Linked DNA regions of Drosophila melanogaster. The protein of the gene in region 1 purifies or fractionates together with the protein of each later gene. This does not show direct contact. Each region holds a gene or a part of one and is shown on either strand. Other genes may lie near its edges. The genes, in order: Sec22, Syx5 and CG42383.

Evidence for each region.
Region 2: the proteins of Sec22 (region 1) and Syx5 purify together in Drosophila melanogaster (affinity purification with western blotting; 2 studies listed by BioGRID, with this or other methods). This does not show direct contact.
Region 3: the proteins of Sec22 (region 1) and CG42383 purify together in Drosophila melanogaster (affinity purification with western blotting; one study listed by BioGRID). This does not show direct contact.

The regions. Positions count from the first base shown.
Region 1 is NC_004354.4:803,292-809,971, forward strand, and holds Sec22 (secretory 22), read left to right. Parts: upstream 1-2,784; 5' UTR 2,785-3,193; coding exon 3,194-3,274; intron 3,275-3,341; coding exon 3,342-3,451; intron 3,452-3,677; coding exon 3,678-3,979; intron 3,980-4,062; coding exon 4,063-4,211; 3' UTR 4,212-4,909; downstream 4,910-6,680. Other genes in the region: CG13359 (uncharacterized protein), read right to left, coding at 1-135; CG13358 (uncharacterized protein), read right to left, coding at 630-711, 783-1,606; CG43867 (uncharacterized protein), read right to left, coding at 6,407-6,680.
Region 2 is NT_033779.5:16,304,219-16,310,687, reverse strand, and holds Syx5 (syntaxin 5), read right to left. Parts: upstream 3,343-6,469; 5' UTR 3,029-3,342; coding exon 2,359-3,028; intron 2,291-2,358; coding exon 1,557-2,290; 3' UTR 1,414-1,556; downstream 1-1,413. Other genes in the region: cni (cornichon), read left to right, coding at 98-247, 309-421, 545-688, 758-785; CG5861 (uncharacterized protein), read left to right, coding at 3,674-3,747, 3,856-3,994, 4,065-4,173, 4,368-4,729; c(2)M (crossover suppressor on 2 of manheim), read right to left, coding at 5,209-5,333, 5,391-5,525, 5,584-5,891, 5,944-6,328, 6,383-6,469. UniProt on the Drosophila melanogaster protein: Mediates endoplasmic reticulum to Golgi transport.
Region 3 is NT_033778.4:24,421,902-24,427,565, forward strand, and holds CG42383 (uncharacterized protein), read right to left. Parts: upstream 3,202-5,664; 5' UTR 3,116-3,201; coding exon 2,054-3,115; 3' UTR 2,025-2,053; downstream 1-2,024. Other genes in the region: prom (prominin), read right to left, coding at 1-178, 1,008-1,103, 1,283-1,470, 1,541-1,773, 1,833-1,888, 3,784-4,072.

The DNA.
Region 1 (6,680 bases):
CAGATTTGACCGGCACCACACTACCATATCCTCCTCGTCGTCCTGTTGCGGCTCGACATAGGGAATTAACCGCTGCAAGTTCGGACGCGGCGTTCCCACGTCGCAGAGGGCATTAAAAGATGCAGAGCATTTCATTTCTAAATATAAAATTTATATTTTTTTGTACAAAAACTTCAGGCCAACTTATAAAACTGTGTGAGGGGAAACTGCATACATATTCGATTGAACTGAATATTCCAATCTTAGGATTCGAAAAATACTATAAATTGTTATGGCTAAATACTCGGGCTGATCGCTATCTTTATATGTACTCTTCAGACTGCTCTTTGTTTTAAAAGCTGAGCGATTTCAGAGGACATACAAATAGATGTACATATATGGCTTCACATGGCCATTGGAGCAGAAAAAGTGCCTACTTCAATTCGAAAGCAGTTAGTATGTCGCTAATCTATGACTGATTGCATATTCTATTTGGACACAAAAAAAAAAAAAAAAATTATTATTCAATAAAAAATAAAATACATAAGCAACAGTGGAAACAGCCTAGCAAGACAGCCTCCTTCAAAAGCTCGATCCTGGTTGGTTCGCCGGAAGGTACTCCGTTTTGGTCAGTCAAGTGATGCACAGGCTCACACCCGCCAGTCGCCGATGATTTGGGAAGAGGGCACCAGCTCGAATCGAGCGTTGGCCAGACTCGGTGGCACACCAAATCTAGAGCAAAAATGGAGGGAAATGAGCCGGCTGCCCAGATGACCACCTCTAGCGCTTTCGTTTCTGCTTACCTGGGACGGAAGAAGGGAGTTGGGTGGCCAGGGAACTTGGGAATGGAAGGCGGAGCAGTCGCCTTGGGCTGGACTTCCGGTTTAATCTGCTGCCTGACAGGGGCAGTGCCCGCATCCACGCTGTCCAGGGTGTTCCTCACCACAAATTGCTGCCTGGGCTGTGAATTGGATTGCGGTCTCGTTCGAGCTCCTGGCATGGGCAAAAAGCGAAAGAGCCGGGTAGAGACGCCGTCATCATCTGTCACGTCATCGGTGGACAAATCATCTCCTCCAGCCCCTCCGACTCCGTTGGCAGACGGAACAGCACTATCAGCTTGTCCACCGGCAAGCGGAGTAAACACGGCAGCCAGACGCACAGGCACAAAGGCTGGGAGCCGCACTGTAATGGGAGTGCCGGAGGGCGGAACAGCCGGTGACGGGATTGCAACGGAGACTGGTATGGGTGTGGGTCGTGGCGGAGGAGGTGGTGGTGGTGGCAGTGGAGGCGGAGGAGGTCTACGTGTGCTGGCATCCGCTGGCGACGCAGTCGTTGTTGTGGCCGATTCCTCCTCGACCTCCTTCCAGGCCTCCAGCAGGGTCAGCAGCTCATCCTTGCTCATGTGGCCGAGACCAACGGGGCTGTAGGGCCACTCGCCCACTCCGAGTCCACTACCAACACTATTCCAGCCTAAAGAGGGCACTTGTTCCACTTGCTCTACGTGACCCAGCGGAGTCTCGAACAGGCTCCTTTGGGGACGTGTGAGGAGCAGCTGCTGACCAGCCAGCCCATTGCACAGGATCTGCATGAGGAGACCCAGGAGCGTCGCACGAACTGACCCGGCCATGACTGACTTTGTATTGTGGAGCCTCTAGGTGGAGCAGTGGCTTATATATACATACCTGCTTTCAACGGAACGAGGAAGGAGGCCAAGCCGAGCAAAACGGAAGCGCACGCATTCCGCTGCGGGTGATCCGATCACACGATGAGAAAATAGGTTGACCGCAGTCCTCGATGGGCTCAGAGTTAATTGAAATGCATTCGATTTAAGATCACAGTACAAGCATTTTAAATAATGTCATAAGCTTTCCCGCTTTGATCACAAACTTGTGTATATCTTAGCATTCTTCGGTATGAGCAGAAATGGGAATGGTTATTCGCATTCGCTTGCAGGGCTTCAATTCATAATATACATAGATGAATAAGTCGCATTCGATATGAATTATTTTCCCAGTGCAAAGATTTTTCCGGTGGTCGCTTGAAACGCACATTCGCACGCAGCTCCATCGCCAAGTACCACAGGTAGTCCATATAGTTGGGTCCCTGCCTCAAGTCCAAGTCCGGTTTCGCGGGCGAACCACTTTTCCTTCTGGGGATGGATGTGGATGTCCATGCAGAGGATGGTCTTCGCGGGCGAACCGGTTGGGCTTGGTCATCGACTTTTGGGGGGTCCAACCCACTTCCGGCATCTGCGCCAGCGGATTTGAGTCTGCGAAAGCGGCGCGACGTGCCAGGGATTTCGATTTATGTTGGTTAATAATTTAAATAAATATTTATTTATATTTAAATATTTGAAATAATATATTCGCAACTCGATTGCCAATATAAAAAATAAAAATACCAAAGACCAATTGGTCGGATTGGGACTCAAAACAGCTATAGAACAATGCATCTGGGCGCCAGGTTCATGGGTGAATCGAAGTATTGTACTTCTATTGAACTTCTGGGGATCCTTAATCCGCATCCTGTGTACAACACACGCATACAAAAAGCAAACTCCACATTACAGCAGAGCGCAAGCTGTCAAAGCTGTAGACCTGGGAAAATAGCTTTGCGGGAAAGCCCGGAAACTCGAAAGCGCCATTTTCAGGGGCATGCTGGCTTGAAAACGAGTTGAAAGCGTATTTCCATATCGTGCATTTAAAGAAACGAAGAAACGAATGGTATAATGGACTTCCGTTAATGTGACCGTTGGCGGTCGGTACTCTGAGATACTCTGCGGTATTCGGTATGCCTCGCACCATTCGGTATATTTACACGGACATACCGGTGACGTGGTTACATTGCAACAAACATCCACAGAAACCTCCAATCCACTCCAATCCCAGACACCCGCCCGCCGCGACGTTGCAACACAGTTTTCATGGTAGCAGCGAACGTTCCCGATTCGAGGCAGAGTCCATTTGGAAGTCCCGGGCATCGCAGGAGCACTGCGGCAAGCACCGACCGATCGGCTGAGTTGTGAAATCCAAGAAGTGGAAGAGGACGACCGGACACAAACTTCACACACTGGTGACTGGACTGCAGCGGATCCACATCGGAATAAGTAGCAGCCAGTGGAAGGAGGCGACGGCAGAGTGCAGCCGTGGCCAAGAAGACTTGAGACGCAGCCCCGTAGTTCCGCGAGCAATCGTAACCAGGAACAGCAGAAGCCATGGCGCTGCTGACCATGATAGCCAGGGTCATCGATGGCCTTCCTCTGGTGGGGACCATGCAGGATGACGAGCAGGTACCCGTGTGCATCACTTTCTAATACGTTGCATTCCGTTCCGCTCCCGCAACTAAGTCGCTTTCACTTTCAGAGCGGACGCAGCATACTGGACTACCAAAACCAGGCTAAGATGCTCTTCCGCAAGCTGGGTACCCACTCCCCGGCTCGATGCAGTATCGAGACCGGACCCTACCTATTCCAGTGAGTAGCCCCAATTCGTGGCACCTTTGCCAGGGCATAGACCATTAAAATCACACCATGTACAAAGGTTTCTCGGCTCCGCGGGTAGTCAGTGACAGTTGATTTAGTTTCGGAACAAAGAGTATAGATGTAATTTGATACGAAGTTAAATTAAACGCTCACTGCTTGCGAAAGCCAGAAGATGCAATGGGCGCCCCAATTAAAATATTCCACATTTTCCCTGCAGCTACCTAATCGAGAACGACGTCTGCTACCTGGTGATGGTGGACAAGATGTACTCAAAGCGACTGGCCTTCAATTACCTGGAGGACCTGGCCCAGGAGTTCCATGCTAACTACGGCCGGCGAGTAAACTCAGTGACTCGCCCATACGCATTCATCGAGTTTGACGTGTACATACAGAAGGCGAAAAAACAGTTGACGGACCGCAGACGCAACATCAGCAACATCAACACACAGCTGCAGGATGTGCAGCGCATCATGGTGCAAAACATTGACGACGTGCTCCAACGTGGCACAGTGCTGGCGGGTAACTACTACTACTACTATCTACGCGACTATCTACGCGTGATTGTGGGATTCAACTGACGTTCACCCCGTTTTTCCTTCCAGAACTCGACACCAAGACCCAGAACCTATCGATGATGTCACAGAAGTACAAGAAGGACGCCAAGCTGCTCAACCGAAAGTCCATGTACGTGAAGGCGATGGCCTTGGGCATGATACTTCTAGTGTTCATCATGTATTTCTGGGTTCTGTAATATCAAGCAGTTCCATGGCCACTCGGAGCGGCGCGTTCTTTGTTGGAGTCAAGCGTCAAGGACGCAAGACCAAAAGACATTTAGATTACGCGTGCACCTGTACTCCACGCCACCAACCACACCATATTCATTCATATCTATGAATCATAGGCAAGCGAAAAGTGAATAGCGAAACCCCCTACCAGCATACGCATCGCTCCCGAGGATTGTTTTACTTCTAATATTAACTTACCTTTGCGTTATTTACGGTCTGGGATTCCATTAATTATTAACTCCCATTTCATTTCGCCTCGCGCTTCCGTTGCGCAGGTTTTCTAAATATTTGATTACGAATCGGGTTTAGTTTAGACGACCTTTGAGCCAAGTCGGTTGACTACGACCCAAATCTGTAAATTATGAGCGTCGATCCGTGTGTGTGTGTATAAATGTCTAGATTGTAGATGGATCGCTGCATAGCGAATCCGAATCCGGCGGAGTGCTTGATACAAGCTGCAAAAACACCGCAAAAAACAAAAGAAAAAGAAAAGATAACAAGCGAACCGAAAGAAAAGAAAAGAAGAGAAAGGGAAATAAACAATAACAGTTTTAGGCAATTTATATGTGTAAAATTAAGGCAAATAAATAAATTTATATTGTTTAATAAAGAGAAGGCAAAACTGTGTTCGATGCACTACCCAAGCCCGAAAGATAGAAACTGCATCTGATTTTTGGTTTAGTTTTAATCGATAATTTCCCTTTATATATTTTTCGATTCACTGAGTGTGATGTGATACATTCGCCTTTATAGTTTATATCCACTTGCAAGCCTTCGAATTACGATTCTTCTCAATGAATTTCTCGATCTGATCCGATCCCGATCCCATTCGGTCTCATATCGTCCCGCTAAATGTCCGTTTTCGTTGCGTCTCAGCGCATATAAATTTGTAATATCAAATCTTTACAATTAGGAAAAAAATGCGCTGTTGCCATATACACTGCTATATCGTAATTTGGTGTGTATAGTTTTGTGAAATATCGAATCCGAATACATATATACGCTCTCTACATAACTACATATGAATGCATATGCTTTGTGGGGGGGGATGTGTGAAATGGTCTGCAATAATTAATTAACTGGGGAGAAGAGCAATCATCTACCGAATTTTGCAACCTCCTCTGGCTTCCGTGTACTAGGCTGTGGTTCTGCTGAAGCTCTGGTGGTGAGTGGGATCGAAAATAAATTACGCGGTCTATAAAATCGAAGTTTTAGTTTATGCGAAAACCATACGAGTCGGGCGTGGCGGGGCGGGTCGGGGCGTAACTGGAACTATTTAGATATACAATAGATGGGTATGCTTGGTTGATAGCCCGCACTAGGCTCAAAATTCTTTAAAAAATATTTGCTTTTCTCAATTGGATTCTGCTAATGCTACTATAGTTCGCTTGTTTTGTTTTTTTTGGCTTCGTTTTGTATAACTATATTTTTCTCGTTCTTGGCTCCGACATCTATACAAATTCAGAAGGCAGTTTTGCGCGTGGAGGGACAATTACAAATTGAGATTCATTAAAAAGCATCGAAGAGCAATAACACTCAAACATATCATTTTTATAGGTGTGTTTTGCATTGCCTTTACTTGTATGTTGGTTTGAACTATGAAAAATCAAAAATAAATAAATAAGTCAGGAACAATCTGAACTTTGAGATTCTTGTTCTGTTTTCGTTTCTACGCATACCCTCATGCACTTTCGGGTACGCTGGGCTTATGACTATCAAAAAAAAATAATATATAGTATATATTTATATATATATGCCTGCTGCTGCGGTTTACAAAGTAGGTTTAGAGTACGGGTACCGTCGTTAGCTTAGAAAATAACTTTAGTGAGTGGTGCGCAAGGAGAAGAAGGTCCATCCCAGGCCTATTAGGCTAAGTCGTATTTTTACCGCTATCGCTATCCATCCGTCTATCTTTATATCTTTCTATCATTCTATCTTTAGTTTCATATTTGTAGCCACTAGGCCGGTGCATATGTATCTGTTAGTTGTATATGTCTGTTTAGCTGTGATTTTCCACCTTTATGTACAATGTGTGATCCTTTAGCTCTACTTTAATCCTTCTTCGCTACTCTCTAATTTCCTCTTTTTGATTATCTTTTCCGTAATCCTCAACGTGCAGGGAACCATCGTTCTTCTTGAGATCCTCCAATCCCACTCTTCTCTATTTAATCCTCTGGTGATCCGGTGTGCTCTTCAGGATATCAGGCTGGTGGTGCTGCTGGATATGGTGGTGCTGATGATGACCCGAGCTCAGAGTGCCCGGTTGACTTCCCCCGCCGGCGTGATGGGAGCTGCTCAGCGTGTGCGAATGGTTGGAGTTAAGCGTGTGTGTCGCATGCGAATTGAGCGTATTGTGGGCCGTTGTGGTGGCATTTGTAGAGAACCCGGTGGCCACCGCTGAGCCACCACCCAAGTTTGGCCGCTGGGAGGTTCTT
Region 2 (6,469 bases), on another chromosome or scaffold:
AGTCCCAGCGCTACAATTGCAAAGCCGAATTTTACGATAATAATTAGCAAGTCACTTTGATTAGCACCTGGAAGACGTGCTCCAGCGATTTTACAAGATGGCCTTCAACTTCACCGCCTTCACGTACATAGTGGCCCTGATCGGGGATGCATTCTTGATATTTTTCGCCATATTTCATGTCATTGCATTCGACGAACTTAAAACGGATTATAAGAACCCAATTGATCAGTGCAATAGCCTCAATCCGGTCAGTAAACTTACTGCTTACACCCGCAGTGCGCCCTGTAATGTATGTGTTTGCATTTCAGCTGGTTTTGCCCGAATACCTTCTGCACATCTTTCTGAACTTGCTCTTCTTGTTCTGCGGCGAATGGTTTTCGCTATGCATCAACATACCCCTCATAGCCTATCATATTTGGCGGTAAGTGACTCATTTGACCGTGTGATATAATGTGATTTGAGATCCGAGGAGATCAAGATTCACCCAAGCCCAACATAAGCACCCTTAAGCACTCATGCTTTGTAATACCCCTATCGCTTTCAGTTACAAAAACCGCCCTGTGATGTCGGGACCCGGACTTTATGATCCCACCACGGTCCTGAAAACCGATACTTTGTACCGGAACATGCGTGAGGGTTGGATTAAACTGGCCGTCTATCTGATTAGCTTCTTCTACTACATATACGGGTAAGTCTAATTGAGATTCATTGTGGCCAGGGTCCTCATTTGTCTAACGTTTCTAATTGCTAATTTTAGCATGGTTTATTCGCTCATCTCGACATAGGCAAGCTCTTGCCTGGGGATCTCAGTGTTGGCGCCAACGCATCAGCGTCGTGTATTAGTTGTCTAAACTCGGGTAGAGGACTTCCTTTTTTGGGGAAGAGTCCCCATCAACCGCGAACAATACTTCACTTGTAAATTCTAGTGTAAATCCATAAAGACATCTTGAAGCTTTGTTTTTTTCATACAATTTGTAATACTTTTCTGCAGTAAGAGATTGTAACATGTTTTTATTTTGATTATTTTTTGCATATCGCATCTTTGGTGTAGTTGGATTTTAAGCATTAAATAAAAGTCAAATCAATGTAACCAATTTTCATTTTTCTGTTTAGCATGAGGGACAGCGGAATTTTTGGCTAAACACGACGAACATGGAGCAACGAGCACTTAAGATAATAAAGATTATGAAAGGGCACTTAAACCTTATCAGCAGGGCAAACATAGATATAGTCTCTCTCCAATTTGATACTTGCATTACACGTTTTCTAAGGTAATATACAAGTTTCTTACATCAGCAAACATATTTATCATTCGGCTTTATATTTTGGAAATTATATTTAATTTTAGAGCTTCCATTAGAATGGAAAAATTCACCAAAGAACCACATGCTAAAATAAATGTATTTTGCTTTAGAACGTATTTATAACTTTATTTTACAATCGTTTCGGGAGGCCACAGCTTGGAATAAACAATATTGTGATTGAATCTTGATTAAAATAAAAAGCTGTATACATGGATAGGTACATGGGGCTTTTAATGGGCAACTGGCGTTTGATTACGACATAAAAACAACGAAGAACAAGAAGAAGAATATGAGAACGCCGAAGATTTTGATCATCAGCCAGCGATTTTTGGAGACGGATTGAAAGTATTTCAAGATCTCCCCATGGGCAGCCTCAATATTCAATTCCGCATCCGCCACATTCGTGTCAATACGCTCCACGATCTCTTCCTGCTCCTTAACCATATGTGCCAGCTGCTGGAATATTCCGCCGAGCTCAACGATGGTAGATTCTATATTTTGCATGGTCTCCGCCCGCTGCTGGACGTAATTATCGGAATCATCGTAGATGGCCATCTGTGTCTGGGTTGATAGGAGTGGTGTGGTATCGCTGCTCCCCATATCTATGCTGACCGCTTGGTTTTCCTCGCTGAGAAGCAAAGATCCCTGCTTGGCTGTCGAGGGGGAGACGGTGTGCGCGGCCAACGGACCTGGTCCCTGGCTAAACTGATCACGTCGCGTCTTCTGCTGCTTGAGGTTCTCCGTGCGCACCTCCAGGATTTGCTTGAAGTCCGTGCTCATGCTGGCCAGTTTCGATTGCAGGGCCAGTACCATGTTAGAGGAATGTGACACCAAATGCTTGCCGTTTGTGTGACGCCGCTGATCCTTGGAGATGTCCTGCAGTCGGGCAATTTGTTGATTTAAGGCATTTAGGTCGCCTTTGATGATATAGGTCAGCTCCTGAATCTCCTGCGGTCTGTCATCAAATAAGCTCTTCTTTTTGGCCACTAAAACGAAGATGGGAATTTTAAAGTTTTGAATATGACTTTAAGGGGTTACTAAAACATGTACTTACACATTGTGAGCTTCTCCAGTTTTGCGTAGGTGCTGGCTATGTTCTTGCCAATAAACCTGGCGACCATCATGAACTCCGAGTAGCTCTGAACCTGCTTAGCTTTGCGGGGATCGCGTATATTCACTGCCCGGGTGATATTTCGAGCCTGCAGGGAACGAATCGCATTGGCGAACTCGCCCGTTCGATCGCGTGCGGCCATGACGAATATTTCTGGTTCGGGTTCCGTTTCCTGCGGCTCCTCCTTCGATTGGTAAAACTGTGAACTAGTCGGAATGGAAGCGGGGTAGCTATAGTTGCTTTGGCTATCGTTATTGATGCCCGGTTGATTGCCGGTGACCACGGCGGCAGCGGCACTTAAAGTGCGCAGTGCGTGGCCCGAGAAGGCGCGTAGGTTCCACTGGCGGGCCGCCTTGCCGTACTTGTCGTCGGAGTAATCGGGAGTGGAAATGGAATCGCCCGACTGGTAGTTGTCTCCAATGTGGATGGCCGCCTCGTGACCAGTTGGTGGTGGAACCAGGGACTGTGCTAATAGTCCTACCGATCCGCCAGCTGTTCCCGTGCCCACAGATCCTGCGCCTGCTCCTCCCTGTTGATCCTCTTGAATGGTATAGGTACTGCTACTGCTGTAATCCTGCTGGTCTGTTTGATGAAGGCGTCTTCGGGTTTGCATCTCATTTCAGATTGCAGCTTTTACCAGGGAGTTGACGTTGCTGTTTTTCATATGCACACGAACGAAATGATCTGTTGGACTTTTCTTTGCGAAAATTTCCCCTTTGTTTTTCTCCTTTAATGCACTGGTTTACCGTTTGATGTTTGGCTCGTCACTTAGCTGGCAGGTTTGTGTGTCCTAAACAAAGTAAAATTTGGTCTCCGTTCAAGTATTTCCCAATGGTTTTGTCAAAAAATTCATAATAATTGCTAAAGGTTGCAGAAAACTCACTCAAACGCACACACACACACTCTTCTCACACACACGAACACACCTCCAGATGATAGATTACGATGACGTGTTGATATTTAAGCAACTATCGATAGGCACGAAACAGATTAAAACAGTTGCTACTTCTTTTCGTTCGGAAAGACACACGTTTTCCAATATTTCAAAATATTTATTTATAATAGTTATTATTAAAATATTTATTGTAAAATATTGTCTGCAAAACTAGCTTGTTTTTTATAGTCTGCCTGACATGCCGTCAGCCCTGTTAAGCACATATCGATAACCCACGGCAAGCAACGCTAGTTTTTTTCTTTTCAACTTTTAATTCTTCTCTTAATTAAGCCAAAATAAAATAGCCATAATTTATCAAAGAAAATGACACTGTATCACTTTGGAAATTGTGTGGCCCTGCTGACGCCGTACTACTTCACCTATAAATACTCCGGCCTGTGAGTTTACTTCTGGTTACTGGTGATTTGCCGACTGCCAAGTCCGCAGCTCTACCAGGTCAATAAAAAACTATTTGTGAACTTTCCCGGCTTATTATTTAATCACAGATCAGAATATGGAGCCTTCTGGAAGTGCGTGCAGGCGGGAGGCATTTATATATTCACACAGCTCGTCAAGATGCTGGTGCTGGCCACATTCTTCTACTCGGACGCTCCATCCTCCAGCGGCGAGTTCAACTTCTTTGCGGTACGTGTGCTTATCTTTGTTTACCTTCACCCAATTATTGAGGTCATGTTGTGGTTTCTTTGGTCTGCAGGAGATTCTTCGCTGCAGCATGGACATCGCCGATCTGCTTGGATTCGCCCTAATCTTGAGTCGCATACCCGGCAAGGGCCACTCAAAGCTCATAACGGCTGGACTTGGATGTAGGTTGAACGAACCAACTTATTTAAACTTAATTAATGATGAGGGTGGCTTTTAAAGATTGAAAAGTACTCTGTTCAGATATATTAATGTTACAAGAGCCAATGCCTACTCAACCTTTAATACCCCAACCCATATATGTATGACAACTTCCAAAAATTTAGTAAAAACTAAATATTTTCGTATACTTCCGCAGGGGCCACCGCCGAAGTGATTCTTTCCCGAGGTATCATGCTGTGGGTGGGTGCCCGAGGCACCGAGTTCAGTTGGATCTACATCCTCAAGTGTCTGGAATCGAACGTGCTTCTGGTGCAGCACATCACTACGGCCACCCTGATCTGGCTCTTCACCCGTCACGATTTGAACAAGGCATTAAAGCCGCTGGTTAGTCTACTTCTGGCGGTGACTGTCTTCAAAGGCGTCTGGCTGGAGGGCATGCTCCACATTCTGACCATTGGACCTTGGCTAACGGTGGCTGTTAAAGCGCTGGTGGCGGCCGTCATTGGATTCTGCACGCTGCACATCTATTCGGGTCTGGCCCAGCAGATCGGAATTTAAGCAATTGTGCCAAACACTCTGTATTCCTTTGTTTTTGTAACTTGTTTATTTTTTGGTGTTGTCAGAGAAATTGAGATTTTGTAACAAAGACAACAATTACGGTTTAGAGAATTACTCCAAATGTTAATGAATTATAGCTACGATAACGTAATAGTAACAAAGATAACAAACAACTTTTAATGGGTACACGAAACTAATATGATAATGAAAAAAAAACTATTTTTATAGACAGCAACAAGTAACATCTATAGAATTTTTCAATTCTTGAAATGAAACGAATTATCCAGGACATCGTTGCTCAATTGTACCATAAGATTGTATGGAAAAAGAGTAGATTAAAGCCATCTAGGTTAGAGATTGGCTCAACTTATATGTTATAACACAATAGCAATAACAGAAAACAAAACAACAACAAAAATGTGGAAGATTGTCAACTACAAAGTTGTTTGGTAATCTTGAAAAAAATTATCTAAAAATATTCACAGAGTCTCACTCAGCATAAGATTGTCTATTAGCTTAGCGGACTCTTTGCCAAGAGTAATTTGGTACATTTCCAGCGAATTAGCTCGCTTTGATATCTCTATAAAATGGTCTCGAACAAGATCTGAAATTTAAGCTATACGTTATTTCCAACACACATTTTGTTCTTTTTCGAACTCACACAACAAATGGAGAAAGGCTAACGAAGCCTTGATGCGACTATCAAACGTTTTTATAAAATCAATGGCATCGATTCCCGTGATTTTCGGATTATTACGCCAAATGCTTAAGAGACTCATCATTACGCTGTAGGTATCTGCAATGAGATTATATTTTATTTACGATAGCATGTTGTAAACATTGGCTGAACTCACCATCATGATTATCCTCACGGTATATGCCGTGCTCATTCATTTCATTATGATAATTCTGATTTACATCATCACGTGGCTGAAGTTGAGGTTGCACACAGTCTTCCACTTCAAGCGGTTCGGGCTGATAGATATGTGCCGCTTTATCCCTACATTTTGTAGCCTGCGATGGTCGCACAAATATCTCTTTAGAAAGATTCTCGGTAAACTCGCAGCCAAATATGGTTCTCAATGTGTTTTCTGCCTCGAATTCCTTTTCTTCATTACTGAGCTTAGGTCCGGAGTGGTTATGAAGAGCTAAAAAACTTACACTACATCAAAAAATTAAAAAGTTTTAAATAGCAAAATGTATAAGGCTCCTACTTATTATACAGTTTACAGAGAAGTTCCTTAGGGGGTTTCCGTAAATCCGAGGATTTTGGCACTATCACATTCCTTGAAAGGTATTCTTCCATATATTTCTGTCTATGCTTCACCAGCTGCTCCCGGGTGTATTCAATTCGTTTGTCTACTATTAGCTTTCTTTTCCGATTTTTCGGGTGGCTAAATGTTATTTCTCCAAAAGAATTTAAAACGGATGGCAACGACGGTTCACAAACTATCTGAGTTACTTCAGCTGGTTCAATGTTATGCGGAAAGATTTGGGTCATGATAGCATTGTCAGCTTGGAAAACATCGCAATCATCCAATCTGGGCATTTTATCCGGTAAGATGTCAGTTGGATCCTGAGCTATTGAGTGTCGCTTTACTATAATACAAAAAAATAGTTTATTACATTTTCAATTGAATTGAGAATTCTTACGTGAGTTCCGTGTGCCATCTTTGGGGTAAAGCTCTTGAAAAATGGTTAAGTCCGCGCCCTCGGCTTCGCCAAAACCATTTGATGGCA
Region 3 (5,664 bases), on another chromosome or scaffold:
AAGCTGCGTATACGCAACGTGTCGCAGAGCGGGCGGTCGCGGTACGTGCACTGGCGCTGCAGCACGGACAGCTGGATCTGCAGCTCCTCCATCCTGGCGGCCGCCTCCTGGGAGAGCTTCAGGGCCCTGCCCACCGTCTCCTGCAGCATGAGCACGCGGTAGATGAGCTCCGCGTTCGCTGACAGCGACAAATGCACGAAAATATTATTATTTGCAGCGTTATTGTAGCGTGTTTTATTTGCGGATCCGTGGGCAGATGGGTTGGGACTTGAGCTACGGATTGGGTTTGGGTTTGGGCTTGGTGAGTCAAGCAGTAGCAGAAGCCATTCCAAATTACACATTGTGTTCGATGGCGAACATAATGGAGTTGTCATCTTGGCAATTGTGTAGGAAGACTTTCGCCGGAACCGGCTGCCTCCGTTTGCATTCCCCTAATGAAATTGGGCGCAAACAATGGTTTTCGCCGAGAAACCGCTTCCAACTTATTTACCGATGGCCTGCGGTTTGGGACTCCAGAGGATTGTGATTTCAGATTTTTCAGATTGTTTGTTCTTGAGTGGAGGCTACTGCAACCGCCATGTTGGGAAATGTGATATTTAGAGCAATATTTTTAAGTGTATTTTAAATTGATGTATGATTTCTTTAATTTTATAGTACTTTTAGCTTATAATGGCGATCAAGTCCTTGTGATTAAGTGAAATCCGAAGTTGTCCGCATATTAGCATTAACTTAACTTAGAATGCACTTTAAATATAGAAACCACAATAAATTCAGAGGGGAATAGTGGATTATTTGAGCCCCACTCAAAGGTCGCACCCTTATGGGGCCGTAATTTATTGTGGCTGCTTTATTGTCATGTTTGGCCAATATGGGGGTGGTTGGTGGTGCGTAGGCCTACTGATGGTGCATGACCAACGGCGGAATTTGGGTCAAGTCCGTGAGCAGACAATCGCATGGCCATCGCTTTGCAGGGCATCGCATGGGAGCACTTAACCATCCGTACTCACCCAGGCTAAGTGTCGTCAGTGAATCATACGCCAGCTCAAGGCCAGTGTGTGCGGATATTTCCGCTTGAATCGGCTCGCCAAGGAGAACATCCACGTCTGCGGGAGAGAGATGCACACAATAAATTCAGACATCTACATCTACATCGCACTGCGGGAAAAGTTGCAGCATAATGCATGGATCGAAGGCTATAAAATGGGCGGGAGTTCGAACTCAAGTGGTCGGCGACACAAAGTTGGCCAACTTTGCCGACCGACTGTCTGGAATGACTACTGACCTTCCAGGTCTTTGACGACCCGCTCCACGGAAACGTGGAAGCCATTATCCAGTTTTTGCTTGATTTGTAGATGCGTGTCCTTCAGGAAGACCTCCACGTCGTGCACGGCTGACTTGACCATCTCGGGCGTCATCTCGATTCCGGCGGACAAGCGACTGTTGGCGTAAAAAATGCTGAAGTCGCTCAGCCTGCAAAATGGGTTTCCCCGGCATTTACTCTCCATTGCCCTCAAAAGTTAAGCTCTAAGTTTGAACGCACGTCAGCAGGATGAAGACGACCCACAGGGTGACCAGTCCGGCGCTCTTGCGACATCGTAAGCTCTCCTCCAGCGACTCGTCCCGGATGTGACAGGGTGCATTCCGTATGTGGTCGACCTCCTCCTGGGTGGAGCGACGACCGCAGCACCAGGCACACGTGGCAATCAGGGGAACCAGGGCCAGGATGGCGAACACGCTCATCAGAGCAATGAAGCCTGACTCGATTTTAATGGCCTAAAATGGGAAACAGAACTCTTACGATATGACCAAGACTCCGCTGTACAACCACTCACATTGGAGGCAAAGTCCAGCAGACTGGTATTTTTGTGTAGAACATCGCGTATGGAATCTGTAATGTCATAAACATTATTCATAGTAATACCCTAATATCATTATCTGCCTGAGGATTAACTATTAGTATATGAGTATCATCCATAGAACTAGCACAACTTAGCCCATTGTCCCATATAAAACGTCGTAAAAATAGATATTTAAACATGTATACAACTGCCTTTTATTGCACGATGGGTTCTGAAGCATCGCTGGACAACGGCTCCACCTGCTCCTCGTTCAAATGTTGGATGACCACCACGTTGCAGAGATTCGCCTGCACCAAAGTACGGGTGTCCGATTCGACGAGTTCCTGTCGCGGAAAGGCGGTCATCAGGACAAAGCTCCGGTCAGAGAACTCGGGTCTGGCAAGGCGTGCATACTGATAGAGATCCCCGACATTGTGGGTGAGATTGAAGCGTCCTGCCACACGACTCCCATCCGCCATCCTCAACTGCACGGTGGTCGTGTCGGCCCGTTCGTTGAGCTGAAGGCCTTGGGCTTCAACGGGCATTGGGCCTACGACGAGTATCTGGGGCGAGGGGCTGTTCAGCGGTCGACCTGGTCCCATGAACTGTTTCCGGGACAAGTGACGATAGGATTCGTTAGTGTGATCCTGCACGCTCAGCTGGACTCTGGGCACCCGGAGCATTTCCTCGGGGAAATCCCCCCTCAAAATAGCGCGGAGAAATCGCTCGTTTTCGGGCAGTGCATATAATCTCAACGAGCCGTCGTCCAGGGAGAATCCCTCAGACCAGAGGTGAAGGACGACTATGGTGTGCTCGTCGTCGGCCGGCTCCGTATCCGAATCCTCGGTCGCGGATCGAGGAGGCGGATTGATGGGATGGGCGCTTCCCAACCGATTGCCATGACCCCAGACCCGCAGACTGCGGTCGCTGTCGTTGTTGGTTATAGCCGGCGTGGAGCTGTTGATGTTCACCCGCTTGCCCGCCGGAGTGTCATGATCGGTGGAGCTGTCCGATGCACATGCCTGGTAGCCATCGTGGTCGCCCTCCTTCCGCCGGGATATCTCACTCAGCAGGGAATGGAGATCCCGATTGCTCTCATTCGCTTGCGAGTGCTCGGAGGACTTCTCGGGCTCTTGCTTTTTGGAAACCGCCTCCGATTCGTAGGTGCTGCTGGCTACCTCCAGGGACCAGTTGTTGGAGCTCAGATACTGACGGGCCACCTCCTCACGCACCCCATGCCGTTTCATGAAGGTGCTCAGCTTCTGCTCATCGGTCATCTGGGCAGGGACGAACAACCCTGGGGCTGTTTCGTCGGATTGAATTTAGAAACACATATCGTCCGAAGGGGGATCACTGTAGCTAGGCCGACTGGGGCTTTGGCTCGTTCCGAAAGTCCTTGTGGCAGCCACAGACTCTCGCCCAACATGCATTTTTAATGCCTAAAGGGTCAGGGACGAGGCTAAGACTACTAAGGGATTAGTGCCATTGAAACTATTTAATTCAAGCTTGTTTTAAACGTAATACCAAGCCCTGTAGCACTTCGAAAAAATATTTTGTATAGAAAACTATCAGAAAGAATTTTATTAAAGGTCCTTTGCTAAAATAAAATATTAAAGTAGTTTTGGGCGAATGTAATAGCTATCATAAGGACACCACTAATAAAACATTTAAAGAAAATCCGAATACGAATCGACATAATTTATGCGGACACAAGTTTTTCCCTGTGCACAATTTATATGAGGTCTTCCATCTGGGTTGAATAACTTGCCCACCTATCAAAGGCTCTCCTGAATTTACATCTCTAATGCCTTCATTGTTGGCAAGCAGACGTTCTGAATACCAGCCCACACACCTGGAAACCCTTTCCCCGATATCATTCGATCCTACACGGGCACAAGGATGCAGGACCACGCCCTCTGCGAGGGGCGGACATGGAGGGACTTACCCAGCGGCAATTCCTCGGGCGTGATAAGCGATAAAAATTCACTAACGTAGGTGAATATAAATGGTCCTGGCGCAATGTCCATGCCTGGTATGCTGTAGGTAAAAAATGTGGCTGGCGTCGTTGTTGGCGGCGCCGTTGTTGTTGTTGTGGCTAATGCTATTGTGGATCCGGTCAGGGCGGACGTGGTGGGTCCTCCAAGGGATGCGAAGCCCGCCGACATCGCTGCTGATGACGAGGACATAATTGTTGTTGCGGCTGGCGTTGGCAGTGTTAGATTGCGCTGGTCCATCTTCGGCCGGATGGCTTGGTTCTCCGCCCTGCGAATGAATTAATGCGGAACAGGCATGGCCATGAATAGTCGGGTAGAGCGCGGGAGCGCGGAGAGGCGGAGGGGCAGAATGGAGCTGAGCCGTATCGGGCCAAACAAAAACCAAACACTCACATGGTGCCCCGGAGAATGCTGTAAAATATTCCCGGAATTTTATGTTCCAATTATGCATTCATATGTATGTTCCTACGCTTCGGGTTCCAAAAACACCCAAGTAACTAGCTGGGCCCCTAGTAACTCACGAAGATTATGTGACATTCGCCAAATTAATGAATATTGCAGCTTCGTGGGGAATTCTCACATATTTCCCACACAAATTGTTTCTGTGGTACCTAAATTTTGTTTATTAAATACGAAGTGACCTAACCCCACTAGGAGCGGTCTGTATGTAATCTTCATCAAATTACGTATACGCCGCGTATGTTACACATTCTGCAATGTTTCACTATCAGGATAAGATATATGTCACATACTAATAAACAAAAGTACAATAAAATATCATTTAAATATTGATATTGATTACTTTACAAAGCAGCTTGGTTTGCTTTATTAAGCATACGCAGCGTGGGCGGGAACTGAATTCCCGCCAAGGTTCTGTTCCATTTAAGTGGCGTCCCTGAATGTCGCCGTGAATTGAATTCTTCACCTCTTAATTCTATTAATTTTCATTTCAGTTCTCGCTTTGTTGCAATCTTGTGCTGTCTTTGCCCTTTCCAATGCTGTCAACACACAATCGAGCTAAAAATCGAGCAAACTAGCTAGCCAAAGGGTCTCTCTTTCACCTCCTGCAGTGCACACATCAATGGGTAATGACTTTCAGAGACTGTAAAATCACTCTTTCACTGTTTTCTCTTTTCTATTTTTCGGTTCTGGGAGCAGACATCTCTTTCGGGCCTGGACAAGTACGGACACCCCGGCAGAAGCCCCTCAAGTGGCCGTTGCAAGCCCAACTCATTTGTTTTCCTTGACAATACCACGTTCGCCGTTTGCCGCCTTTATCGCCCATTCATGCTGGCCAATGGCCATACTAATTGCTCTGCCAGGGGACTTTCCGAATTAGACCAAACCAATACAGATGGCTGGCCGAACCTAAACAGTCTTGAGCTAGAAAGTGGGTCATTAAAACTCGATACGCCGATGCATTGCGTCCCCACCCCGTTCGCATACGTGTGTGTGTATGTGCGTATGTTCGTATGTATGTGCCATCTCCATCTGTATGCTCTGTATGTGACCGCATGTGCGATTATGTTAGCCAAGTGGACACGAGTCAAGGCGCTCGAATGGGCTGGCCAAGCTCTTCGAAGGCAACTCGATACGCAATGTGCGGACTTGTTGTCGGCTATTATCTCCCTATTATTGTAGCCATTTCTCTCCTTGTTAGAAAGATATTAGTGAAAGCCGTTCAATGATAACAGGAGGAGTATTATGGATCGAGGTGGCAGAGTTCAATGCATTGGGTCACGCCGAGTAAAAGGCTTTCAGAACGGCTTAGAGTGGAGTTATTCACGTTACTAACGGTACGGTGGATAATAAAAGAAGTTCGATAATGGTTG